4 linked regions of the Styela clava genome follow. The main gene of each other region encodes a partner of the protein of the gene in region 2 in a complex. Links are inferred from orthologs where the notes say so. Each region holds a gene or a part of one and is shown on either strand. Other genes may lie near its edges.

The links.
Region 1: U6 snRNA-associated Sm-like protein LSm3 (region 2) and U6 snRNA-associated Sm-like protein LSm2 share a complex: the UniProt entries of both Homo sapiens proteins name them as parts of the precatalytic spliceosome. The link is inferred for Styela clava from reciprocal best matches to the Homo sapiens genes LSM3 and LSM2.
Region 3: U6 snRNA-associated Sm-like protein LSm3 (region 2) and U4/U6 small nuclear ribonucleoprotein Prp4-like share a complex: the UniProt entries of both Homo sapiens proteins name them as parts of the precatalytic spliceosome. The link is inferred for Styela clava from reciprocal best matches to the Homo sapiens genes LSM3 and PRPF4.
Region 4: U6 snRNA-associated Sm-like protein LSm3 (region 2) and U6 snRNA-associated Sm-like protein LSm4 share a complex: the UniProt entries of both Homo sapiens proteins name them as parts of the precatalytic spliceosome. The link is inferred for Styela clava from reciprocal best matches to the Homo sapiens genes LSM3 and LSM4.

The regions. Positions count from the first base shown.
Region 1 is NC_135250.1:9,209,682-9,216,381, reverse strand, and holds U6 snRNA-associated Sm-like protein LSm2, read right to left. Parts: upstream 2,028-6,700; 5' UTR 1,889-2,027; coding exon 1,601-1,888; 3' UTR 503-1,600; downstream 1-502. Other genes in the region: ufm1-specific protease 1-like, read right to left, coding at 1-447; protein D2-like, read right to left, coding at 4,700-4,878, 5,018-5,395, 5,799-5,828, 5,910-5,926. UniProt on the Homo sapiens protein: Plays a role in pre-mRNA splicing as component of the U4/U6-U5 tri-snRNP complex that is involved in spliceosome assembly, and as component of the precatalytic spliceosome (spliceosome B complex).
Region 2 is NC_135261.1:10,469,714-10,476,729, forward strand, and holds U6 snRNA-associated Sm-like protein LSm3, read left to right. Parts: upstream 1-4,764; 5' UTR 4,765-4,905; coding exon 4,906-4,926; intron 4,927-5,833; coding exon 5,834-6,127; 3' UTR 6,128-6,501; downstream 6,502-7,016. Other genes in the region: dmX-like protein 1, read right to left, coding at 1,384-1,592, 2,101-2,160, 2,692-2,802, 3,257-3,338, 3,416-3,490, 4,097-4,222, 4,305-4,391. UniProt on the Homo sapiens protein: Plays a role in pre-mRNA splicing as component of the U4/U6-U5 tri-snRNP complex that is involved in spliceosome assembly, and as component of the precatalytic spliceosome (spliceosome B complex).
Region 3 is NC_135254.1:14,596,042-14,603,127, reverse strand, and holds the start of U4/U6 small nuclear ribonucleoprotein Prp4-like, read left to right. Parts: upstream 1-4,084; 5' UTR 4,085-4,157; coding exon 4,158-4,305; intron 4,306-4,702; coding exon 4,703-4,821; intron 4,822-5,513; coding exon 5,514-5,681; intron 5,682-5,761; coding exon 5,762-5,844; intron 5,845-6,292; coding exon 6,293-6,386; intron 6,387-6,762; coding exon 6,763-6,916; intron 6,917-7,086. Other genes in the region: 5'-nucleotidase domain-containing protein 3-like, read right to left, coding at 139-533, 1,486-1,736, 2,255-2,706. UniProt on the Homo sapiens protein: Plays a role in pre-mRNA splicing as component of the U4/U6-U5 tri-snRNP complex that is involved in spliceosome assembly, and as component of the precatalytic spliceosome (spliceosome B complex).
Region 4 is NC_135262.1:751,477-758,508, forward strand, and holds U6 snRNA-associated Sm-like protein LSm4, read right to left. Parts: upstream 2,883-7,032; 5' UTR 2,827-2,882; coding exon 2,704-2,826; intron 1,770-2,703; coding exon 1,494-1,769; 3' UTR 503-1,493; downstream 1-502. UniProt on the Homo sapiens protein: Plays a role in pre-mRNA splicing as component of the U4/U6-U5 tri-snRNP complex that is involved in spliceosome assembly, and as component of the precatalytic spliceosome (spliceosome B complex).

The sequences.
Region 1 (6,700 bases), on a different chromosome or scaffold from region 2:
TTGGGGAACATGCACAATTCTACAGGGTACGTCATACACATAATCTATGCATATTGATATTTCGAAAGAACCAATCCACTCTTTTGACCCCATAAATGAATGCTCCTTATCACCCATTGAAACCAATGCATGCTGAACCTCTGATATAGATGGTACATGTCCTGTAATTTTATCATAAATTTTGTCATTGTTTGTGGTTTCATTTTTACTTTTTGTCCTGTTTTTCTGTTTATGATAATGTATCCAACTGCACATAGTCTGTAGAGTTCTGTAACCACAACCCCATCCTCTGTCGTCTACTCCATCACATAAATAATGATAATACGCATATGTGCCTTTGACCGCTTCAACTTTACAATTCTCCAAAGACTCATTCAATAAATCACGGTGGATATCATGGGGTAATTCATCAGGGAATTTTGTTGATTTGACCGGTGACATGCTCATGGCTATTCAAATTTATCAATCAGATTCAGCATACTAAAATATGAAATCACAAGACCTAAATAGTTCAAAGCAGTATTAGGTACGAAAATTGGCACGAAATTGTTATGATTGAAATATGGTTCATGTGGATGAAATGGCAACAATCACTAACATACAAAACCAAAAAAATTCATCAATTTGTCAGTGTAGGTTGATGCAAAACATGCCAGATAAAAGCAGCATAAATGGTAAAAACATGATTCTTATTGGTGGAAAGAGATAATGAAAAACTGCAATGAATTTTTGGGTCACAGTAATGTATATCAAGAAGATAGAGCAATCAGCTTTGTATTGACTATCAAAAATTACCTTCTAATCATGTCATAAATTTTCGATTGAATATGTTAATGAATTCTCCCTGAAATTTCAACCGATAAAATAGATTTTGATAACTGTATTTTGAGATACAAAACATACATTTAGATTTTGACTATGCTCTTATTCACCTTTTACCAATTACAATGGTGAATTAAAATAATGAGGCTCTTAACGCCAGACATATTTGTTGCAAGATATTCACTGCTTTCTGAACTTGGTATGAATCAAACACTGAGATGTCAATTTATGTGAACATTGTAGGATACTATGACAGAATTGTGATGCAAATTCATGATTTTATTTTCTCAGAGATAAATACACTTCAAAACTGCTACTAAATTTGGAGTTCAGGAAATATTCTTCAAAAAATTCCTGACCAATTTTTCCGGGTTTAGTGAAACAAGAAAGACAATAAATAAAACCACATCGCCATCCCTATTTTATGCCACACTGGCATATGCTTTAGGTAATGTAAATAGCAGAATATTTATTGTTCACATAACTAAAATTCAAGTTTGGTCATTTTTTTGTCTCGTCTCAGTGGTGAGAAATAAGACAAATTTTAGATAGCATAATTTTCAAATAGTGATACTGCAACATAGAGCATCGATTTTCAATATATTAATAACTTTGGAACAGATAGTTCATGAGTGTAAGTACTGTCCATAATTTGACTCAGTATTGATAATGAGATATTTTGTCAATACTCGAGACATTCTCAATGTATGCAATATTCTATCATGTGAAATGCGCTAGTTTAAATTTCATTCACACTAAATTGCACCATAAATGTCTCTCATTGTTTGCTTTGCGCAGCTTCTTTTCTTGCTGCGTCTTGAAGTAGTGTTGTGTCGACCTCATCAGCTGGAAGTTGCACATATCGAACAACTGACCCTCTTATAAAACAATTTTTCACAGATAACATATGTGGATATTTTTCTGGATCTGTTACACTTATGTCTGTTAATTTGATATTCAGATATTGATCCACTGAATGTAAAGTTCCACATATACTTAAATCATTCTTCAGTTCCACAACAACGTCTTTTCCCACAAGTGATTTAAAAAATGAGTAGAATAACATGATTCCTATCAAAATGAGATTCTGTATTAATACTGTAATAAGTTTATCTTACTGACCAGGCAGCACTTTGCTACCGTATGTCAATAAATAAACAGTTCAAAGATTTTTATATAGTATATAAGTAGTCTAGCCTAACTGTAATTTCTGAAATTAGAAATATGATAATACTGTAGTAAATATCAGTTTTATAGATAACTTCCCTCGGAGTCGGACCATAGCCAGATAGCCCAGCAGCTGTGAAAAATTTTGCATTCTGGTTCCAACTTGTAATATTCATCCAAGTCATTGGTATTCGTATATCATATACAGATATACTATCTCACTACAGCACCAATCACACCAGCCCACCATAGCTAAATAAGTTTAAATATTGGTACATTAACAGACAAGGTCTATATTTCTATCACTGTAGGCATTTTCTGGCGCTTCATCGTGGTTGTTGGATAATCCGGAACTGAAATTCTGTCGGTTAACCGGATCAAAAGTAACGATACGCCGGTATGCGTAATATCAATTAAGACGTTAACTTGATAATTATGATGAAGAAATATGTACCGGTATGAAGACTCTTCGTCACACAACAAACAAACTATCTAACTCGGGTGTCATTTACAGTTTACACGACTCAACAGTCAGCGCGTTGTACGTCCTACGAAATGTAAAAAATTAAAATTTTATTATAGAAACAATAAACGCAAAAATGCATGATTTTCTTTCTTGCAATGTATGTGCGTATATTTCAAGAAAGATTACTCTAAAAAATTTACAAACGCTGTTAGCAGCAAGAGGTTTATAAAATAAATAATAAACTAAACGGCAATAAACATAAAAATAAAATCAGTCTCCGGTAGATGCTCGACTCAACACTCGACATCATAATAACATTTTTATATGAAATCAACAGAAAATTTGAAGAAGAATATAAAAAACCTTACAATAACAGAATAATGGGAAAATATATAGCAACAACAAATAAACGATTTACCCTAATTTGATGTAAATTTATGAGAACAAAGTTAATTTTTCCCAATTTTCTAATAATGAATTTCGTAGAAACCAAGTTTTCAGAAACATGTTTTTATTAACATCAATAACAAATAAATTCATTTTCTCGGGGTATTAAAACACAGATTCAAATATTTAGATGTAAGTTTCTATCCGTACGACGTACATAGTTGGTGTATTATGTTAATATGATTTTCTGCTTATGACGTGTTACGATATTATGTTCGTTTTTATTATTTGTAACGCTTTGTCAAACATATCCTATTTAATCTCTGGGAATATTTGACAAAAAAAAACAGAACTCATTGAGGTGCAACAGCATATAAAATGAATGACTAATTCGAAACAATTTTCAGAAAATGAAAATTCATATGCCAGAAGACCACGATCGAAAAGTAGAAAGAAGCCTCTTAACAAATACATTAAATTTGAAAAAAAAATGCATCAGACATTTAGGTGAAAGTTTTTCACGCGTCGACCTTTCAATGTTTGCTAGCTCTGGTGATAACAAGACTGAATTACTTTGTGGATTCGCGCAAACGACCTGAAGGGTTATCAGTAGAAGACGAATTGCTTTTTCTTAATTTCAAAACACCAACCAGGAAACGAAAGCATTGGACTTAAAATAGTTACAATTGCTCTTTTCTGACCTTACCACGTGTGAACTTTTTGTCATGTATGTTTGTATTAATATATATATTTTTAATTCGAATAATTGCTATCTGGCCTCATTTATAAGCTAAACACGATAACAAAGTAAACTATTTACGGTTCGCGCAAACGACCAAAGCACCTACCTAGATCAATAGAGGACAAATCGCTCTTCTTACTTTCAAAAAACCGAAACATAAACGATATCCGGTGCGATACAAATGCGAAATATATTTGTGAAAAGCGTGTTCAAAAAACAATGAAACTGTTATGATCAATCTTACTTTGTCATTGAGTAAAATACCACGAACATTTTCATTTGAAAAGCTGTTCAAAAAATCAAATCTAAGATATTGAGTTGGCAGAACCAAACTTTGTGATCTATGGATATAACTATTGAAAGCTATTGTGTTTTTATATAAAAGTTGTAAGCTACTATTGATATCCACCGTATCTCCAGTATATATATCGTATCGACTGCATGCAAAGGTATTTATGGTTACACAATGTTGGGAATTGAAAACAAATTCAGCGAATGGGGAATGTAACTAAGATTTATCGCCTCAATCAATACTTTTTATTAATTATGTGTAAATTCAATGAATAGGTAATTTTCTCTATTTCCTGATTATGATTTATCACAACAAGCAACGAGTCGTAGCAATGCTTCTTTGTATCGACCGATTTGTGACGTGTTCCCGGCCTTCATTGGAGAGTTGAGAATAAAACAAATAAAAGAATAAAATGTTTTGTGCCTTTCTTTACTGCCGCACAATTCCGCACCCATGGGCAATTGTACCCATACATTTGCACCTTAGATTTTAGCACCCCCATACAAATTACGCACGTTTGCACCCAGATACATTTCTAATCACGAACATTTGCACCCATGCAAAATCGTGTTAGATATATTTATTATACACACCAAAAATATCTTTAAACTATTTGAAAAAGTAGGCTATGTAAATTTTCGGCAATTTTCAACAATGGTGGAAGCTTTGTAATATGTTTTGCTATCTGCGCGATAGAATCAATAATAATACACCATGTGTTGTTTAAGTACTACAAAAATTTTATAGCTACGAAGACCAGAACCAATTAAAACTTTCTCAGCCTCTTTTCGAACTAACTATACAAGTGCAACTGTAGTAGATTCTATCCTTCCCATTCAGCTTCAAACCATGTGCCAGCTACTGGTGATCCGAGGCCGTATTTTTCGGCTATCTTCTTTGCACTTTGGCCACCTCTGAATCCGCCATTTGGGCCTATTTTCTCGTCCATAAACTTTATTTTGTCCGATTGTTGGAAAACTAATATGACGTAACGGTGTGGGCCTAAAAGTGACACAATATATATAATTAAAATATGATTTTTAGCTGTTCTATGTTCAAAATTTTTCCAAAAATACTGCAGTATTTATGCAAAAGAAGTTTATTTAATCTCACTATGGAGAATCATATCTATGGATAATACCTGTTCCTTTGGGAGGCGTAGATCCCATGTATGTGGTGATTACTTCTCCTTCGTTTACGTTATTCTCTGGGATATTGATGACGCCCCAGTGAAACCATTCGCGAAATGTTGGATTTTTCCGACTAGGAGCATCTAGGTCCATCATTAACAGGGTATAAAATTGATCTTTCTCCGCAGTCCATTTGACTGTAGGTGCAAACTTTACTTGTGTTGGTGTCAATTTCGTTCCCCCTTTTTTGACATCTATGCTTCCAAAAGACACTTCTGTCTGCTCGCATGGTGTATTAAGATTTAAATCAGATTTTAGATCATGCTGTATCCAATCTTGGCTGAATGTATCAGTTTCCGCAAGTACTTGGGAAAAATCATCACCGATAACTAAATTGAAAAATGGAGAGAACTTAATGTTGCTCTAAATCAACGCAATGTAATGCATTATACATTTCCTATTATTTAAGTTTCTACAATTTTCAGTGCTACCATGGTTAATGATTTTTGTTTGAATAAATGTAAAGCAATTACTCCTCTAATGAAAAACTATTCAAATACTACATTACTACTCATATTTTAATATCAATACAAATATCACGCGACGAATTAATATTTTTATACAGTATAGGTAAGTCACTTTAAAAGTGAATTATCAGTGTGTTGAAATTCATTAATTCAAGTGCGCTATCACAACACCATTGCTTAGGAAATGTAAAGATAATGATCCAATAATTGTCTCAAATTTCAGATTGGAGAACAATGAACTACAAACACAATTTTACCAACTTACAATCATTGATAAACATATCTGACATCCAAGCTGTTAATAAAATCAATCAATAAATAGATGAACTATCCATCAGTTAATAAATTAAGTTAACAAATTATCTAATATACTCACATTCATGTCCGTAGCAACTGTAAAAATATAAGAAATATAATTATTTAGTACAAATGCGTGAACAAAATGGTTGCTTTTTCTGCAATTCTTATAAAAATGACTGTTTACATTTCGAAACCCAAATAAATATAAATTTTAAATATAAACGAACATATGTAATTGACTCTTGTGTTCTGTTATTTGCAACAGTGAAATATGTTTTTATTTCTATGCATTCTTGTGCATATACAAAATGCCAGACTATAATTTCCTGTTGCAGCAGATTTACAATAATCACATTTTTTTGATATCTGAAATTACGCAAAATTAAATAAGTCAATGAATATAAATCGATATGACGGGTAACGTAATATACATATACAGCCACTAACGTACATATACAGCCAAGTCAATAAACATAGGATAGGATAGGATTTACATATTTATCCCGGGGGAGAGGAAAGCCGATAAGACGGCTTAACCATATGGCGAACCACGGCCTCTCGTCCGGTTACCATTCCAAGTCGGGTATGGGATTAGTTTTACTGTATTGTTTGTTTTCGGAATCATGGACTTGGTGGTGGAGGAAGCCGTAACCGACCAGCGGTTACGTGAACCACCCAATGACGGCGAGGAGTCCAGCAATCCTCTCGCACATAACCATCCCTGCATGGGATTCGAACCTGCGAACGCACGCAGAGTAGTAAGAGGTGCGGTGGCGAGCGTATTCCTAACGCTTAGCCCGTTGAGCCACACCGTCGCGCCGCGCCGCGCCGCGCATATACAGCCATTCAAAGAATGTGCATACACGG
Region 2 (7,016 bases):
TACGCTAGATGTCACTGGAGGACCGTAAACTAAAACACCTCTTTCAAGAGGTCTCTCGTAACGTCAAAAAATAACAAAAATATTTACACTCTCTCATTCTATCAGCTGATAGACGTCTACAGCTATTGTAAAGCTGAAATGTGACTATACAGTTGACTGCACATTGGTTTTCTCTTTCATATGATACTAAACGCTTTTCCATAGCGCGCGTTGTTGAAGCGTTTTGGAAATTTTCCGTTTGAGAAGTCACCACATCGAATCAGGCCAGGCTAAGCTTGATAGATCGATCGGTTGTTTGTTTGTGCTTTATCGCGTTGAAAGCTTTTGTGAGTCATAATAAAACATTTATTATGAATCATAAAAGCTTATAATCGTCAGACAAGGAGAATTTGCGAGATAAAACGCCTAACTTTTTTTCGGTGAGGCAGCTGCGATCAAACGACTCGATATTTTTATAACTTCCTGACGTTGTGAGATGTCCACTCTTCTATGTTATGTAGCATATAAAATGACCTTCAAAATAAGACCTTATCATACTAGCTTTTGTTATTGGTTAGCGCGCAACGCCAAGGTTTATGGAATCATTTTCTTGTTGTGCGACGTTTTTATATCGCAGCGGGAAGTACACGCGTGATATGTAAGCGAAATTTTATCACTTCTAAATGTCATATAAGGTTCATTCTCATATCGTTGTGTGGGGAATAAGATTTCCTTTCAAGCAAGACCATAACAAACATTCCAGACCTCATGGTATACACACAGCATTGCAAAACGTCGCGCATGCGTCAAACCGGGAGGATTAGGATAATTGGAAGGAGACCACAAAACTGATTTTTAAACTGAAGTCCAAGCTTATTTGTACAAATAGTTTTTGGACTAAGTATTTAGGAGTCAAACAAATAGATAAAATGTCCAAAGCAATTTAAATAATACCACTACACTGCTTCACATATTAAAATCCGGAAAAGTGAAAACTACAGTAAGCCTTACAGAAGTTATATAATAATTTTATCAACATATCTCGCATTTAACATAGCATAGTATTTTCCATATTTATCCATATAACAAAGATACCTTTTAATAACATATATCAGGGGTCGAGGCTCTATCCATTTACCAGTCCACATTGGTGTGAAATAACTAACCAGTTGAAAATCACAAACTGTGGAGTGAGGCTTGCAACAGTAATGAGTACAGCAATCCCCTTGAATAATGTAACTACATAGTAACGAGTAGGCTACATCATTTCCCTTGAACACACATAATTCCAATATCCGAGCACACACATGGGAATCAACATTGAAAGGAGAAGGACACAAAAAATGATAAATTGAAAACAAGAGAATTGAGAATATAAAACACAAAGTCAGAAAATTCCCTTACATTTTGAATATTCCCATCCTGAGTGTGTTTTTTGCCAGGACTGGAGGCATCTTTGAACAGGTGCATTGGCAGGGCATTTCGTTGATGCCATACTTTAATCATGGAGTCACCACAAGAAATAGAAGCAAACAAAGTATCATCAGGTGCATATTGAACATCATGCGGATTTTCTTCTATTCCGCTGCTCCAAGCCAACTCCCATTTTACTTCTGAAAAATGTTACGGATTTCAAATGTGAATATAATGTTGGCATAGAAAATTCATTGACAAGTGGGAACCATGTATCAACGATTTTTGAATGAAAAAAAGGCTGCAAATCCGTTTTATAAAGTATTACATATTTTCACTCCAAAGACAGGTCATTCCAGCAACTACTCAGAACGCTACTGGGTTGCAGAAAAGAGAACACTTTTTGGTATTCCCGAAGTATGTGAACCAAGATGGCAGACACCTAAATGTAGTATGTGTACCAGGTTAGGGATAGGCCATAATTTAATTCCAATTTTCCTTATTTTAGTGTTATCACGAGTTCGGGGACTAGCCAAGTGGCTCCTGCAGTCTTTGTACTTGAAATTATCGCCTGACCCTAACCATCTTGATTCACATGCTTCGGGAGCACCCATTTTTTTGCTTTCTTATAGCCTACACAATTTCACACATCCAAGTTTAACAGAAATTAAAAAAATTTCTGTTTTTGAAATATAACCATCAGTCTACCTTGAGGTACAGCTTCTTCTTCTGCTGTAAAATTGTCTTCTGTCTCATCTTCTTCCTCAACTAAAATATTGCAAAACAAAATTGAATAAAACATAAGTAATATTTAGAGTGAATAAGCCAAACGAATACGAGAAAGTCAAAATATGAAACTCCATAACTAGAATGATAGATTTCATTGATATCACAAGAGGGAAAAAATGATTATGATAACTGTGATAAAACTAAATTGGTTCTGTGCTGGTTATTTCAATGTCCCAGCATGTACTATCCCTCACAAGCAAACAGCCTGACTTAACTTAAGAGCTGTGAATTCTGAGACCTAGAGGTAAAGACGCAGGCTGGATATTTCATAAATCATATTTCGTAAACGATATTGCAGTTTGCAAAATTTTAGACGTCAGAGGTCAAAAAAAATTTAAACCCATAGGAGACAGGAGTTGAAATTTTGTAAAACTATGCTACACTGGAGTAGGGAAATAGAATCTAAAATACTCTTAATTCGTAGTTGTGAGTTCCGATGGAAAATACATCTGAATTGTCCTTTCAGATTTAGATTAATATTTGTTTGTTAGAAATACAAATAAATCTCACTTTCTTCAATAGAAAATTGCACTTTTAAAGTGTGACTCTTTGGTTCTTTTGCAGATTCTTTTTTGATCTCATACAGTAGTATCTCATTGCATCCAACAAGAAGTCTTTCACCTTCAAAATAATATTTGACAAGATATCATTAATAGTAAAACAAGCAGAGAAAATATGCGACAATAAGACAAATAAATTTATTTTGCGTCTACTCTAAATATACCGAAAAATGTCTTATATTTGTTGAATGAAAAATTAGAACATCTACATCTCAAAACTGATTTACTTACGACCAATTTCAAATTTAAATAAGTTGGTTAATCACACCAAATAAATGTAGAGTAACATACTTGCGTGCTACTTCGGATGCTATCTCAGCGGTTCTGTGATTTCAGACACATTAGTTAGCGTTCGGAACTGAATCCTATGAGAATGTCTTCATTAGATTAAACAATTGAGATCATGTTAAGCAAGTGAGATCGCATACCAAAGTGGCACCCAAAATTTTTATGCAATAATAAATAATTAATATTAAAACATAAATATATATATATTAATAAAGTCAATGCCATACCAGTAGATGCCCAGGACAAAACAGTTGCCCGTCCCACACTTTCTTTCAATGTTAATGTTGTTTCTTCAATCCATGTAAAAACCTGAAAAATGTATATTTTAATAAAAATGGTTTCAGTTTGTATCATTGCCTGTGAAGTTATGCGAGACAAATACTCACCGGTACATCGTCATTTTCGTTTCGCAAAAGTTTTGGATGATATATAACAATGTCTCGTCCATATGAAACAGCAATCTAGAAAACAATATGGTGGTAAATGATACAATAAAAGTATTCCTGCAAGTTGCAATTTCAAATATTGATCTATTCAAAATAATCATAGTGAATGCTTTGTAGTTCGTAACACACTTGTAAACAATAATTCTGTGACATAAATAGCAGAAAATGCTATTCAATTTCATTCTAAGCTTTTAAAATTCAGAAAGTATTTGTACAAATATTCTAATTTAAACTAAATTGGCCTTCAACACAAACTGTTTATGGAGTGGCCATTCATTGAACATACCTTCAGAAAATTAAAGTTCTAAAAATGTTCAACTAAAATTTATAAGATTTTGATAAGACAATTTCACCTAACCTCCCCAAATAAGTCTTTGTACAGAAAGCTACTTATTAGTGGCATGCTGCATAGGTTCAATAAAAATAACCTATGTAAACCATGGCACTTTTACAATGAAGTAGAGGACATAAATTGAGATTGAACAAAACGAGGCTTGATCTCATGATCTCTAACATAAAGTGACAGACTGACAGTATACTCAGTCCTCTACTTAGGATATCATACCCACAAAATTAAAATATAGTTTGCCAAATACTGAAATAGATATAAATATAGCCTACCTTTCCAACAAATTGACAGCAATCCAGACAAGTAATAAGTTTGTACCCTTTTACATGACCAGGTATAATGTGAATGGGTTGAAGATCTACTCCCAATATTACCAGATCACATCCTGATCCATATGCCTGAATACAAAATAATTTCGGCTATAAGAACTTAATCTACAAACGACTGCAAATGGTTGTGTATATTATCTTGCTACCTTACCCAAAACGTGAAACTTGCAATGCTGCCTACACTGAAACAGTGATTTCCTGGGTTAACAGCTCCAGTTAAAACTTGATGTCGCCGCATCCCGGTACATTAAATTGTTTCAATTAAACGACAAATTCCATACAATACAACAAAGTCGCAAATTACAAAGACCAAGATACTCTATCTACAGACCTAAGGAACCAGTCAGCGAAAGACATAAACAAAGTCGATTGATTGACGTTTGGTCGATCAAGATTTCACAACAAAAAATCAATTTTTATCTGGGTTAATATATTTGATTACTAATGGCTTATATGTATATTTTTTAAGTACAAATATGAAAATATAGGTTATTATTTTTACTTTCAAAACAGTATTCCGTGAATTATGGTTTTGTAGAAAAGGGGAAATATAAAAAAGTTATCGGTCATGGGTCACTAGTTCTATTGGTATCCCCGCCTATGCCACGCCTCCAACACATTTCGATATGGAACGCGGGGATCAGGTAATTTAGCGCAAAAGAGCTAAGAAGCCTTGGGAATTTATTTGTCAAGCCTATTCGAAAAATTGTCACTTACCTAGAAAACTTGTGCTAGAGTTAAATCGCGGCAAAATGGCAGATGATGAGCAGCCGGTAAGAAATTTAATATTTGGTAATGAAACTTCAGGATAGATTTTTATTTCATGAAAAAGCTCTCTCCATGCAGCAATGATATGAGTTTCCTGTTCAATTTAGCACTCCTTACAAAATTATTCATACGGTGTGGCGAATATCTTTTTATTACTTTGTCTAGTTTTCATTTTTGTTTATCTTAGGTTCCTAGTTTGTTTTTCAATTATTACGGTACTGCATTATGTCTTTTCGGTTGTAGGCCTATTAATTTAATTCACACACATAAATAGGATTCACATATTTATCTCCCGGGGAGAGGTAAGTCGCTAAGACAGCTTAACAATATGGCGAACCAGGGCCTCTCGTCCGGTTTCCATGTCGGGTATAGGATTAGTTGTTTGTTTTCGGTAGCACGGACTTGATGGTGGAGGGAACCATAACTGACCAGCGGTTACGTGAACCACTCTATGACGGCGAGCAATCCTCTCGCACATAACTATCCCTGCATGGGTTTCGAACTTGCGAACCCACGCAGAGTAATCAAAGATGCGGTGGCAAGCATATTCCTAACGCTTAGCACGATGAGCCACACCGCCGCACCCCTACTCTTATGTAAATGATTCTGTAAATTTCAAACCTTATCTAAGGTTTTGTTTGCTCTCCTGATTCTGTAGTCGAAACAGACTTATACTTACAGTACGACACAGTTCTCAGATTCAAAGGATAGCCCCTACATCAAAAGATATCATTTATTACAGTGAGTGCAAACCCCTCTTTTAAGAGACAGTCTGGGCCTCTACATTGGCAAACCATTGCAGTCGTGCCAGATGCCCTCGTTTCAGAGACATCTTGGAATTAGAGAACTGTGCCCTACTGACTTACGACTGAAAAATGCTCAAATAACTTACATATAATCTTACTTTTACAGCCACCGCCAGTCACACAGACAGTAGAAGAGCCTCTTGATCTGATTCGATTGAGTTTGGACGAAAGGGTTTATGTAAAAATGCGAAACGAACGAGAACTTCGTGGTCGACTACATGCATACGACCAACATCTTAACATGGTTCTCGGAGAAGTAGAAGAAACCGTGACCGCAGTTGAAATTGATGAAGAGACTTATGAAGAAATTTATAAACAAACTAAAAGAAACATTCCAATGTTGTTTGTGCGAGGTGATGGAGTAATTTTGGTGTCGCCACCTCTTCGAGGAATGGCATGACACTGAAGTTTTTAACCATTGCACAAATATTTTACAACTAACTGAATGCTGTTCAGCATAGTCAGGAATATGTTGCATGAGCAGCATCCTTTAAAACAGGGAAATACATTAAAACCCTGGCAGTTATGCTGAAATTTAATAGGGGAGACAAAATTGAAAGATATACTCAGTTTCTTTTAAAAAGACAGTACAATTTCCTAATAAAATTGGTGAATGGTGTTGACTTTCGTACCACAAACTTTGCTCGAATCATACTTTTATTGTTAATCAGTGCTTTTCTTCCACCACCTATGCTTAAATCCATGATTTTGGAAATCCATTGTCATTGATATCACGACTTTCTTTTCCTTCAATAATATCTGACTAAAAAGGCATACTACGATCATTGAGTATGTATGATTGCGTACATTTAGAAAATATGCCTATTTAGAGGATCCTGGGATCAGAACTGCAATTAATAAAAGGGATTTGCTTTATTGGAATATTGACAACAGAACAAATTTGCGACCCACTGGTTGAAGAACTCCAAGTGTCTCCAGACTCCCACACCTTTACTGAATGGCCAATATTAACTTCTCCAGGCTGAATCATGGTGCTAAACACGAACAAATTTTTGCATGAAGTTTATCGAATGCACAGAATCCTGTCCTGCTTCGCTAGTATATAAACCTAATCAGCAGTATTACAGAAATAAACCAGAATTCCCCTTGACCACACTTTTTTGCTATTCCAAACAGTCATAAACACGGTTTATAATCAAAACTGTATTTTAATGGTCCGAATGAGAGCAAAGTGATCAAGGCTGTTTTGTTGTTTACTTCATGTTTCCAGGAACACTTATCAATCACTATATTGTAAAGGACGAGATACCAGAAAGCGCAGAGACCAC
Region 3 (7,086 bases), on a different chromosome or scaffold from region 2:
AGTGCCTTCTAAACATACTCTCGGATTCGGATTTTATGCTTGATTGGGGAAATCTGAGTGTTGACAGGGGCCGGGTTATGGCACGCGGGCCGCCTGTTGCACACCCCTGCTCTAGGTCATCACACAATGCAGTCTTACCTCATGTCCACTCCATCCAGATATTTGCATCAAGTCCTGTATACAACCTCCATAATATACATTGCCTTTGGTGAATTCATGTACCCTCTCCCATGATACAGTATGGTTATTATCTCCATTGTTACCGTTTCTAGATGATTCTATAATCTTTTTAAATGGCCTCTTGTAATTTTGGAAGAATCCTGGCTTTTTTGCTTCAACGATAATAACATCAAATGCATCTCTCCAATCTTTCCCAATAAGATGCTTCATTCCAACATTAACAAATTGCAAGTTACTGTTGGTAATGAGAAATAACTTTCTTCCATTTGATGTTAAGTGATCAATCAGATGAGTTAAACTATTCTTTTTAAGATACTTATCCACATTACCATAAACTTCTTGAAAAAGATGGCCTGAAAAAGAATAATGATTTGTTGGTTAACACCAGAGCTTCAATTTCAGAGCCATAGTAGTGATGGTGCGGGCAAGCCTGCAACGCTGCAAGGAATTTTTTGCTGATTCAGATGACATAACAAATAATGACAATGTGAAGTGAGAAAAAATGGGTTTTAGGCTAACAACCATTTTTCAAAACCCAATTTTACTCACTGTAAAGCATTTGCAATAATGATGCAACGTCTACAGGTCATTAATGTGAAAAAAATTGAAATTGATATAGCTGTAAGACTTGACAGCATTTACTGATATCTACATATCAATGCACCATACTAAATTCTGTCAACAAATGTTGTTTTACTTTGCAATCAGGCAATTTCAGAGGACAGTGTTATATACATTATGGGATACTCCGGCACACATTAATTCCCCCCAGTTCGAACAGATCTTCATGGCTGAAGATTGGTATCGTGGGGTTGGGTACAATTTGTTTTTTGTACTTCCTGGAACAGTTGTCATAGTTACAATTTTAGTCAACCAGGTGTTGTTTTATATCTATTTGGAATCAGATTTAAAGTTTCAGAGGCACAGTCAGGTTAATGAATAATCAGCATTTAATGTTAGGTTCAAAAGGTTACTATTGTTAAAAATGAAAGAATCATTCTCACATCATCAATACCTTCTAAACTTAATCAATTACAAATGATGATCAGTATTAGACTATTAGGTGTGAAAATCATGCAGAACTATATCCAGTACTTGAAAATTAATGAACAGGTGACTTAACATCAGAGATTAGGTATAATACATAATAGTCATTAATGAATTATATAGGGAATTTCACCAAAGCCTCGAAAAGAATTATATCCTGATTCATGATTTCGGGTTACAAAATTAATAACTTGATTTATGTATAGTCGTCGAGCTTCAATTCAGGTATATTCAGATCTACTATAAACTAAAACATACCTCCAACATGAACTTGCTTGACAGCTGCTTGCACACTCTCAAATAAAATCTGTGGGTCATAAGTTATATTATTTTGGACAAAATACTCTACGACATTGGTGAGCAACATCATTTCAGGCATTGAAAATATATCCAGCAACTGTCTGAGAGAATTTCCTCCAAAGAGAGATTCATCCATGATACGTTTTGGAATATGACGACTTCCTTTAAATAGAGACAGTACTTCATCTTCACTAAGCTGTTTTAGCCCCCTGTTAAGAACAGATATTAAAAAAATTTATATGAGTATTGATTTTCAAAAATAAAGAGTTGTGCTAATTTTTTCCACTACTGGCTTGACTTCCGCCTCAGCTGGTCAAATGAAAAAATGCCTTTTCTCTATTGTATAAAATATATCTCAGATGTATTCAAATATTCGATGCATTCACAGCATCTGGATGCTATCAATTCTATGTTCAGATATGGGATCTTCATATTTATCCTGGGGCAGTGGAAAGCCAAGTAGACGTCTTAATCATATTGCAAGCATGATCACTCAAACTCGAAATAGGTGAGCAAGTCAATTAATACTTGGATGACAAGTTTTCAAACCTTCATGATTCGTAACTTTTAAAGACACTGAACAAGTGGAAACGTTTTTTTATAATTTTTTTTTATGGCTGGTGAAAGAATCTGTATTGGACCAGCAAATACGTGACCTGCACACTGCACCGCTGTCATCCTTATCTTTGTTATTAACATGTGATATGTAATATTCAAATTGTTTTACCTGTACACTGAACCCAATTGAATGACGTGACAAGCATCTATTTTCATGAGTAAACTGCGTTGAATGTCATAATGAAGACCTCTAATGCAGAACCCTGGAACGTACTTGTAGTTCAAAAGCTCTTTGGGAAAATGGAACTGTTTGTGTAATATTTCAGTTGCTCTGTCATATATGAATGTTTGCATGTCATCAGAATAATGAGCGAGAGTATAATCATAGTCAAATCCATAAACTTTTATTTCTCCCAAATTGATTTGATTAATGGCAAAAAGTCCACGAGGATTAACATTGCAAATCTGTTGATGGTCATCAAAAATAAGAGCTCTCAGTTCGTTATAACGATTCTGCATAAATTCTTGATTTGAACATGACTCTTGTGAGAAAAAACGTGGACATATACTCCTTCCTTTCAGTCGACCAATCAGCGGCCTTAAACAAAAACTTGTTGACATTGTGGATCACCTGAAAAGCACAATTATGGTTTATTTTCATTTCTAAAACATATCACAAATAAACGGCCAAGTCTATATCAAAACAATTTTCAACATTCTCATAAAAATAATTTACTTTCAAAATGCCTCAAAAACAAGATATTTCAGAAAGGAATATATAAACAAATTACTGAATTTACTGTCATACATTCAACCATGAAAATAATTTTATTGATAACTGTCATTGCTCTGTTCGTATCATACATCCTAAAGTCTGTAAGCTCTATGTTGCAATCAGCAGTCATCCCACTGCAGCACTGTTGTGCATTCAGGCATTGTCTCTATTTCAATATTGCAGTATTGTGGGTTATTTCATGTTTCAAAAGCTATATTTGATTACAATCGTACAAATTCTCACTGGTATGCCTACATCAAAAACTACATGCATAACGACTCACCTAAATAGCTTTTTCCGTTAACAGGTTAAGTAAGACAGCGATGAAGTCTGCAAGCCAACAATAAATCCTGAACTAACTCGATTGCCAGAACACAGTCTCTGATTGTTCCGACGTTATTTTCAAATATATTGTCGAGGCATTTTAAAAAGAACTCATCCACACCACTGTTTATTATTTGGAAGACAACCAACATCCAGACATTGCTCCCCACCTGCCCACGGTGATACAAACGCAAATAAATGCCGCAAGGTCTGAAGATTGCACAACTTTATACCGTGCCGACTCAAGCATTAACCGGCCAGACAGTCAGACAATATTATTTGGACCAATCGCCGCATAGTCTCACTCTAGGCTCCGCCCACAATGCGGCATCTGTTGAAATTAGTTTTTAATGCGGTTGTTCCATTCAATCCAACGACTAACGTACCGATTCAATCCTATCACTTGTTAGCGTGCATGCCTCGCACTGGTATATTTATAGCATGAAAACGATTACATATCTTCGTCTATAGTTGTTCATAATCAATCAGTATGAATTTTCTGTTCTTTTCCGGGACTGTGTTAGGATTCCATGCGCATTTGTTGAAATCGGTTTTTCAGTGTTTAGGAGAGTTTTCGAGGCCACTGTTGCTAATATTCCCGTCTGCATGTGGGAAAGTGTCGTAGCCATATTCTGAAATACATTCATACCTATTTTTCCGGCTTTTCATAATCAATCAGTGAAGATTTTCTGTTTGTTTGGTATTAATTTGTAACGTGAGTAGGGGATCATCTTGGCGCGGCCGATTTCGAAGGTACCGTGGTAAAACAGATTTTCCTGTTTGCCCATTCAGTCATTGATACTACTGTACTATCGTATGGGATATCTGGTTTTCGCCTTGTGCTTATACGGTACTGTTATAAACCAGTAAACACAGAAGTTGACTGGGAGTTAAGAGAGTATTTTACTTAACAGATTATTATCTGGATATATGCATGAATAAGTAAACTGTTCCAAATAAAAAAGACAGAAGGATGTCTGACTCCGATTCTGATGGTGAAGCTCCAAGAAAGATTAGGAAGACTGTCCAATATGGAAGCATTGAAAACAGAGTCGGTATGTCTGGGGAAGAAGCAATTCAGCTTGGAATTAAAGCAGGAAATATTAATATCACCAACATGAGTAAGTATTGATAATATATGTTATGAATTCTGCGTTACTTTTATCACTGTATTACAGCATTTTTATAGTTTTTTGTGAACACAATTTACATGCATTTCTCTCTGAATAAGGCTGTATACAAGCAGTCACTTATATTGGGGTACACAACACACGAGGCCACATCTTGGTAAAACTAAATTGATATACAGATATACTAATATCAACTTCCATTGCATCAGAATTTTAATTAGGAAGTAGGTTTTGCTTCAATTTGGACCCACTATTTAAATATGTGGTTTCAACATATCTAAGTGCAATGCTTTATCCACTGAGCTGTCACTCTAACTTTTTACGCAACATAATTTATTATGTTTTCAACTGAGAATTTTGCTTCCTATTCAATTGAAATTTTTAACAGGTGATACCATGGAAATGTCAATTGAAGACAGAATAAATAAACGACAAGCAGAAATTCTTGCTGAATTTGAAAGAAAGAAACAGCTACGACAAATCCAAGTTACAACAGATGACGTAGAGGTATTATTATATTGGATCGACTTAAGCGTCCTGAAATTGACTACCCCAACACATTTTAAACTTAGTATTAAATTATAAATAAGGATCCCCAAAATCTAAGTAAATAACTCTTCATTATGAGAATTCAATATTATAACTTCCTATGCTTAAGATTATAAGTTTTTTTTTCAAAACATTTACCTTTTTAGTGGAAATCAAATCAAGTCAAAACTGAATTTGGCTTGGACCATGTTCTGTTTACATAAAATTAATAGCTTCACAGAATTTGTAAACAAAAAAACTATGCATTCATAAATAATATGCATAGGAAGCCTTATATCCTTACTATGATCTTCAAAGACAAATTATTAAAAAGCCCCATTTTTGACTGTTCATTCAAATGTCATGTTTTATTTTTTAGTCAACAAACTTCATCAGATTTAACTAGGAATAAAACTTTACAAACAAAAGTAATGATTTTTTACTAATAGGGTATATTCCTAGTCAGAGGATTTTCATACGAAAACTTTTTTGTGGAACTGCTAACACTTACATTCTTATACCCGCATTTTCTGCTTCGTACAATTCCATCCCAACTATCGAGTATAGTAGCATAATTCCAGTAATAATATCTTTTCAAGTTGTTGTTTAGGCCCAATTTGTGTTAAAAATTGGAATAATAGCTATTAGACAACATTATGTGATTAAAATAGGTGAGAAAACAACTTCGAGAATTCGGCGAACCCATAACCTTGTTTGGTGAAGGTCCTGCGGACAGGAGGGAACGTCTCCGTGAGATTATTGGACTCATTGGTGAAGATAATTTAAAGAAAAACAAAATTTCAGAGAAGCAATTGTTGGCCCAGAAAGAAAAAGAAGAGGTAACGTTTAAACTGATTAAGAGATTGTGATTGAAAGAACGGATTATGTGTAAAGAGGCTTATAATATTCTTCCTTTTAGCTCGCTAAGACAACATGGTATCACGAAGGTCCAGAAAGTCTAAAGGCAGCAAGAATGTGGATTGCTGACTTTTCTATTCCAAGGTAACTTTTTTGATTTTTCAAGGAAAGATTGGATAACGTAGTATTGCTCAAGTAAGAGAGTAATGATTATTGATCACACTGATAAAATATAAACTAACCTGATAAAAGTGGTAATTTAGTAAAAATATAGAGTAAATTAGAAATTAAATACTTTCTGTGTAAACTAGTGGTGCCAGTTCATTATAAATTGAAACTTAAAATATACGTTTATTCGAACCGTTTGTCCTGAACAAGGCCCTATTCAAGATGCCACTGATATATGAAGAGCCACTATTTTTGTGGAGATCCAAGTCTTTCCAGTTCATCATTGCCTACAGTGGGGATGGGATTTGAACCTAATATGTGTATCACAGTTAAGTCAACTACTAGGCCATGGCATATTATTGTAGTTTTGATATTGTCAATTTTTGGAAAATTTTTTACTGAAATATATTATATATTGTTTCAGGGCGAAGGCAAGGTTGCAGAAAGCGAGAGAACAACAGGAGCAATCAACAACACAAAAACATGCAAGGGTACAAGAGATACACAGGCATATGCGAGTATGTTCATTGACAAAATCAGCTGTTACTCGAACAGAAAATTATATAAGGACTTGGACTTGATATTCCATAAAAGTCGAATTATTGAATTATTTTATATTGTGCACTGAAATGAGTAGTTTATAGCGTGGCTGTGACTCCTGTGAGGTAAAAAAAATGAGGTCTCGGAGCTGAACCCACAGTTTGAATATACTGTGGCTCCGTAATCATTGTGATTTTGCCAAGCCAAATCAGTTTTCAAGACCTGAGAGTAAAACTCAAACCACATATTTTAGTTGGTTATCAGCTTAGGTAGGTGTTGGAATAATTGACCAACTGTACCACAAGCTAACAAATATGATGAACAAATGATCAAATATATTTACTTTTTTAATAGGCGGTAAACAGTGTCGGAAGTCAAATCGGTGATTCAAGGCCAATATCTTCTTGTAAATTCAGTCCTAATTCTAAAATACTTGCAACAACGTCATGGAGTGGTTTGTGTAAACTGTGGTCAGTTCCTGATTGTGAGGAAATTAATACTTTAAGAGGTATGTGATGGTAACTGTTGTTCTTTTAATTGTATGTTACAGACAACAAAAGTAAGAAAGTTAGAATTTGATATCTGTATATATGCTGCTTCTCAAAATTATTTTTCATTTGAAAAATATTCAATGTTTGGAATTTGGGTTTTTTGTCATCCCTAATGGGCCTAGGGTCC
Region 4 (7,032 bases), on a different chromosome or scaffold from region 2:
GCGAGAATGTAGCTTTTCAAGAAAGTACTTTTGTGAGAAGGTAGGTTTGCGAGAATGTAGTTTTGCATAAAGCCGTAAACGAACTTTTGTAAGAATCTAGTTTTGCGAGAACGGACTTTTGTGAGAATGTAGCTTTGCGAGAAAGTACTTTTGTGAGAATGTAGTTTTGGGGAAACGTACTTTTGTGAGAATGAAGTTTTGGGAAAACGTACTTTTGTGAGAATGTAGTTTTGTGAGAACTGAAAAGTATTCAAACTTTTGAGAACTATAACTACTCGAAAAGCCTTAAGAGTGTATTTACGAGACGAATAAACATACATGTATGTATGTTGAAGCGAAGTTACCTGGACTTCGAAAAAAAAAACACATTCCCTAACTACCAGCAAAAAAACAGCGCCACATATCTGGTTCGGATATTTATTTCCATATTCTACACTCGTTGTTATCTGAATGAGAAACTATGATTGAAATAAGAAAACCAACTTCCTGAAATATGAAAATATCCTGTTCCCACACAAATTTATTCAGTGTTCACATTGCAGCAGTTATTCTGTATTCCAAACTTGATTGATTAGTGAAATAACATTGGTACAAAAATACAAACACACAAAGCTGAAATTCAGGAATATTGCCAAAGCTTGAGGTTTAAAACACGAGACATTTTAGTTTAGGACGCCACCAACAAGGGCAAAGCCCGGGGAGAGAACATGTAAGGCAATTCAATTTCTCGAATATTGCAAGCATTGAGACCCACTAGCTGTTATGGTTTAACTTGGCAATTAAAATTTAAGAATCCCCTCCCCCCTTTGAAAATTCCTGGCTATCAAGTCCACGAACCTGAAGTGAATTACATAACTAAAAAGTACATACGGTAACTATTTTTATATCCACCCTAAACTTGTGACCAGACAAGAGACCGTAGTTCAAATTATCCATTAAAAGAATTCTCTCAAAAGTAAAGAAGACTCGCCTCTGAGCGAAGTCATGTGCAATCGCAGAAAGCGACCACTAAAAATATATAGAATCATGAAGCACTATGCGCACTCACCAAAAAGTAAAGTGGACTCATCTCTGAGTGAAGTTATGTGCAATCACTAAAAAAGTCAAAGCTACTGGAACAATATAGAATCATAATGTCGGGTGTCGCTGCTCGATAACCATTCCTGGTTCCCCGCGACTTCCCTTCCCCAGTAAAAATGTGTTTTCAGTTTTGTATTTTGTTAATTTCGTATGTTATTTTTTACTGAATGGGAAAAAATAAACTAGACTATGACTATAATGGTGCATTATGGGCACTCAATCAGAGGTAAATGAGACTCAACTTTGAATGGTTATTTAGCAAAAAAACTAATCATGAATCGAGCCACGAGCTAGTGGTATGTGAATAAATAATCAAGTCAACTTATCAGACAAGAATTTCTTTCAGTAACCACACAAGAATGACTTGTAGTAGTTTCTCCTCCAAACAGACACATCAAATTGATTCCCCTTTATCACTCTTGGGGTTTGGGTCTTTGTGGTTTTTTCCCTCCCTGGCCTCCACGTCCTCCCCCTTGTGACCTTCCACGACCTCCAAATCCACCTCTATTCGGGCCTCCTCCACGGCCCCTTGGACCTCGCCCTCTTCCGCGACCTTTAGAGAAATTTTCTTCTTTTACCATGTCGATAATTTCATCGGGAATTCGTAGATACTTGATTGTGCTGCCTCGTATGTAACACTCCGGCATTTTCCAAAAATGGTCGCCGTCTCTTGAAGTGCAGATGACTTCCTGAGACATGAAAAGATACATGAAAAATTAAAAATAGGGAGAGCTTTCATGTAACGCTCCGTCATCAATTTTCTGATCTGTTTTGTTCTGTTAATTTTAGGCAGGGGAATTACCAGGGGGGGGGCTTCGGTGTGTGGTAATTTGTGGGTTGAAAAGTCTATTTCACATCGGCCCTGGATTGAACATTTTACGAAACAGAAAAATCATTATCCGATGAAAAAGTTCATTTCAACTTAATCACGGCGCCTGTTTTAGAAGCTGGTGTGTTTATTCCCAATTTCAGAACCGCCCCCTTTTGAAAACCTGGCCCCTGATCTTAGGATAGGTTTGATGAGATTTGCCTGGAAGTTTAATACTTCATTTGCATCACCAAACATGTTGTTATTTAGTCAGATAACTTGAACACTGCATTGAAATGTAAAAAAAAAACAATCATTCATATGAACAAGCTCTTCGTATCATTTCAAACTTATAGCATTGTTCTAAGCTTTAGAATATACTCGCCACCACACCTCTGATTACCCTACATGGGTGTGCAGGTTCGAATCCCATTTGGGGATGGCTATGTGCAAGAGGATTTCTGGACTCCTTGCCCAATAGGGTGGTTTACGTAACCGCTGGTCAGTTACGGCTTCCTCCACCATCAAGTCCATGCTTCCGAAAACAAATAACTGACTAATCCCATACCCGACTTGGAATGGTAACCGGACGAGAGGCCGTACTTCGCTATACGACTAAGCCGTCTTAATGACTTTTCTCTCGCCAGGGACGAATATGTAAATCTTATTCTATCTCCCAGAGGATTCAACCTTCGAGGGGGAGGATCACCCAGTGTTGTGCCACGCCAAGCATCTCAACCCTGCTTCATAGAAATTTGATGAAATAACGATTCCAAATTTGAATGATCAAATCCATAACCAAGAGCAAAACCTACCCTCAGATTAATATTCATCCAATTATCACAATTAACCAGATGTCCGTTATACGTTTCTCCATTCTTCAATTCCACCAGCATGGGATGGTTCACAGCTGTCTTTAATAAAGATAAAGGTAACATTGCTAAAATTGCTTTGTCTAAGATTTACAATAACTGAAATAATAAGGAAAATTTGTTATATTTAGTACAGTTGTTTTGATACAAAAGCATATTTAGTATTCGGAATTACTTGATATAAACAATTAATGAAGGAAATTTTTATTTAAAACTTTATCATCAGCCGATAAATGAAAAGGTAGCATTGCTAAGGGCATATGTCTTACTAAGACTGAAATAAAAAAGAAAATTTGTATAGATAAGTAATTTATATATATTTAAAACAGTTATTCCGATACAAAAGCATATTTAGAAACACTTATGTTAAACAATTAATGAGAGAAATAATTAAGAATATTTTATCTATCTGTAATCAGTAGTTAGTTTTTTCACCATATTGTGAATAATTTTTACATACAGAACGAGGGGTGCTCCCGAAGTATGCGAACCAAGATGGCGGACATCGGAACGTAACATGGGTAACAGGTTAGGGTCAGGCGATAATTTTTTTCCAATTTTCCTTATTTTAGTCCTATTATCAGTTCGAAGAGCCTCCCGTAGTATTCATACCTAAAATTATGGCCTAACCCTAACCTAGTACACATATTACATTCCGATGTCCGCCATCTTGGTTCGCATACTTCGGGAGCCCCAAACGAGGTGAAAAAAAAAGCCTTTTTGGGTGAAAAGGGGAAACAATAAACCTGTGCTGGTTATCGAGCAGTGACACCTAGGAAAAGTCTAATATTAGGTCATACAAGAGTAAGAAGCCAAAATGATTAAAAACTAAAGCGAAGAGTGAATACTGTAATACTACGAATACTTCCTGAAATAATATTTTTGAATTTAAAATATCGAATACATTCTGAAATGAGTCTCTTCAAAAGAAGAAAATTGTAGATTCATAAAATCAAACTTGGTTAAGCGGAATAATTGGGATAAATACCGTTTTAATTGGTATTCTCCATTTTATTCTGTGAGAAGTTACTAATTTTTTGTCTGTCACAATATAATAAATGCTCAAAAAGACATTTTCAAAAGAAAATATTCAAAATTATTCCTGAATTCAAGAATTACGGCTTCCTCCACCATCAAGTCCATGCTTCTGAAAACAAATAACTAATCCCATACTCGACATGGAATGGTAACCGGACGAGAGGCCGTGGTTCGCCATATGGTTAAGACGTCCTATCAACTTTACTCTCTCTCGGAATAAATATGTAAATCCTATCCTATCCTAATTTACTAAATCGAATATAACCAATATCTGTTTTGAACGTCCCTGTGTGAAATTAATATTGATTGAAATCAAAAGTAGTTCCAAAGACATAATACAGTATTTAAAAAAATATGACACACTCGGAATTCTCAGCGGTTCCCAATCGGGGGCCACAGAGAAGTTGGAGGGAGGGCCACAATGCTTGGCACAAAACTGATTTAACTTTTCCCTTCACAAGAAAACCTCTCGTTCTTCCTAGTTTTATAGCCTGATAAGGTTATTTCACAGGGTGTTTTCGTTGCTTTTTTGTGCATGATGTTGTTTGAACATACGGTAATAGGATTTGGAATCGACCAATCAAAATAACGCTATAAATACCATTGGAATGATAAACAGCAGGCCATGTGTGTTAAGAGCCCTCTGAATGGGACCATGATCAATAGAAGGTTGGGAACCGCTGCTCTAAGCTATAGTTTTTCTTAATTCGAGGAAAACTAAGAATTTTATTATAAAGTAATGAAATAGTAAATGGGTAAAGAGACAACGCAGCGTTATATATAGCAGCTATTTATGTACTGATGAAAAGAAATACAGATTTTTCACAAAAACGAAATGAAAATATTGCAATTTTATTGCTATTTACGAAAATGAGAACATTATTATTTCTCAACAATTCTAGAATGAATTTTAACCGAGAATTAATTCATGATTTAAAAGAAAAAAGATTAAGAACCACCTCCAAAAAAAAAAAATATATATTACTCCTCAAGTTCTTCGGGGTAAATATAAATCGGTATATTTTTATTATTCTGGTCTTCGAAAAGTTTTTTCAGAGATCTCGTAATTGACGTTGGTAGCTCAAGACAGTCAATCTCTTGAAAAATATTTTCCATCCGGGAGTAATTTGATAATATATTCCGGTGGATTGAGTTTAAACACGACTGTTGTAAAGTTAATAAAGGATTCGAAACCCTGATTGTTTGGTATTCACGTTCGTGACTTGGTATCGGGAAATAAACAGAATGCCTTCCTGGAATTACCACTAGAGGGTGACGAGAGTTTGTTTCACAAAACACCCAGTAATGGCCGACGTAAGTAACAATTGCAACTGCTTTTCCTGGACGTAATTGTTTTATATAGCAAACTCGGTCACCTGCCAAATCAATCCACTCTATTGTGACATCATATTCAGTTTTGTTTGCAACCACTAAGTTCGATCTTGACAGTGAATCATGTGAGCATAGCTTTATCATTCTGGCAGGGGGTTCCCCCTCCTCCTCAGGACTTGACATGGCCTTTGCTACGAAGTGTTGTCTAAATACAAATGTTCAATGTAACATTACAGAGGTATTTTTATACGATGCCAATTCAGAGGTGGGCTAAGTTTATGGGTCAGGGGCCGAAAATTTTGCCCACGTTGACTGGCGGGCCACAAAAAGTTATTTTATGAACAATATTCACAGCTTTACAAAAGAAAAAGTGGAGAACAACAGGCTTCGCGCAAAAACTAAATTTAACTGCAATCTCAACAAATTTTTTGAGCTATTTTTAGCTTAACATCAAAATTTGGTTTTGGTTTGGTTGTGGCAGCATCAGGCGGGCCAGATTGAATCACTCAACATGTCAGATTTGGCCTGCAGGCAATACTTTGCCCATGTCTGCGCTAATTCATGCCTTCTGCTCTGAACATGGCCTCGCATAAGCAGTCATTAAAGCTTATTAACAATATGCATTATACAGGGCGGTCGCTAGAAAAGCAGAAAATTTGAAGGTCAGATGAGTTTACGAATAAAATAGGTATAATTGGAACGATATAAAGGGACTGAAACCTATGTGCAGGGGGTATATTCACTTGGCTAACACAGACAGTCACTGAAGTCGTAATAGAACTAAAATAAGGAAAATCGGAATAAAATTAGGGCCTTACCCTAACCTGGAATGGGAGTACCCTTATTTATGTACACATAATGCACTAATTAATCTGCACAAAAGGAGTCTGGCATGCTCATAACACTATCTAAGGATCGATTAAAGACTGAATAACTAAGGTAGTTCATATGGGTAGTGAGGGAGAAATAAAAAGTTAATAAGTAACGAGAGGAATTTAACGAACTAGGTTGGGCACCACTGTCCAAGCGTTGAAACACGCATATCATCAAACCACTGGAGGGATGCATGGAGAGTTAAGTGAAGTCCAACGCTAAGGACCCATTGAAGCCGTGATTGCCAATCATTTATGGCTCCTGGCCAGAGGCTTTCAGCACTCATGTCCCTCCATCTCATCATGTTCAAACAATTCCTGCTCAACAAAGTGAAACACTCTGTGAAATAACCTTATCAAGCAATGAAACTAGGAAGAACTGTGAGTTTTCTTGTGAAGAGAAAGGCAGAATCAGTTTTTCCAACTGATCTGTGGGCCACAGCCCCTTGATGGGAACCGCTGCATTGAAGATTGAATGATAAATTCATTTTATGCAATATAGTTTAAGTGAACTCCAACATTCTTACTGCCTACTTGATTTACAAACAGAATGAAAATAAACTCACCAGGTTTAATTTTAAGTAGGTGGTTCCCCCTCCTTTTGTTGAAGAAAGTAAATTATTTTATCTAGAATCTGAATTTCTAAAAATACATGCAGTGATTGATAATACAGATAATATTACAATAATAAAAAGTACATGAAAATAATAAGCAGGAAAGATTAATACCTGCGCTCCAGAAGTATGTGTACCAATATGAAAGTAACTAATTTTGTTCGCTTACTTCACATCATGTTGTGTGAAGGGACTGAAACCTATTGGCAGGGGGTATATTTACTTGGCTAATACAGACAGTCCCCAAACTCGTAATAGAACTAAAATAAGGAAAACCGGAATAAAATTATGGCCTAACCCTAACCACTAGATATTTTGGTAAGCATGGCTTCAGCTACAACAAAAGGTCAATTGGACCCCGAAAATGCTAATTGAATTGGATTACGTTTGTATGAGGAAATATGATTTTGGTCAAA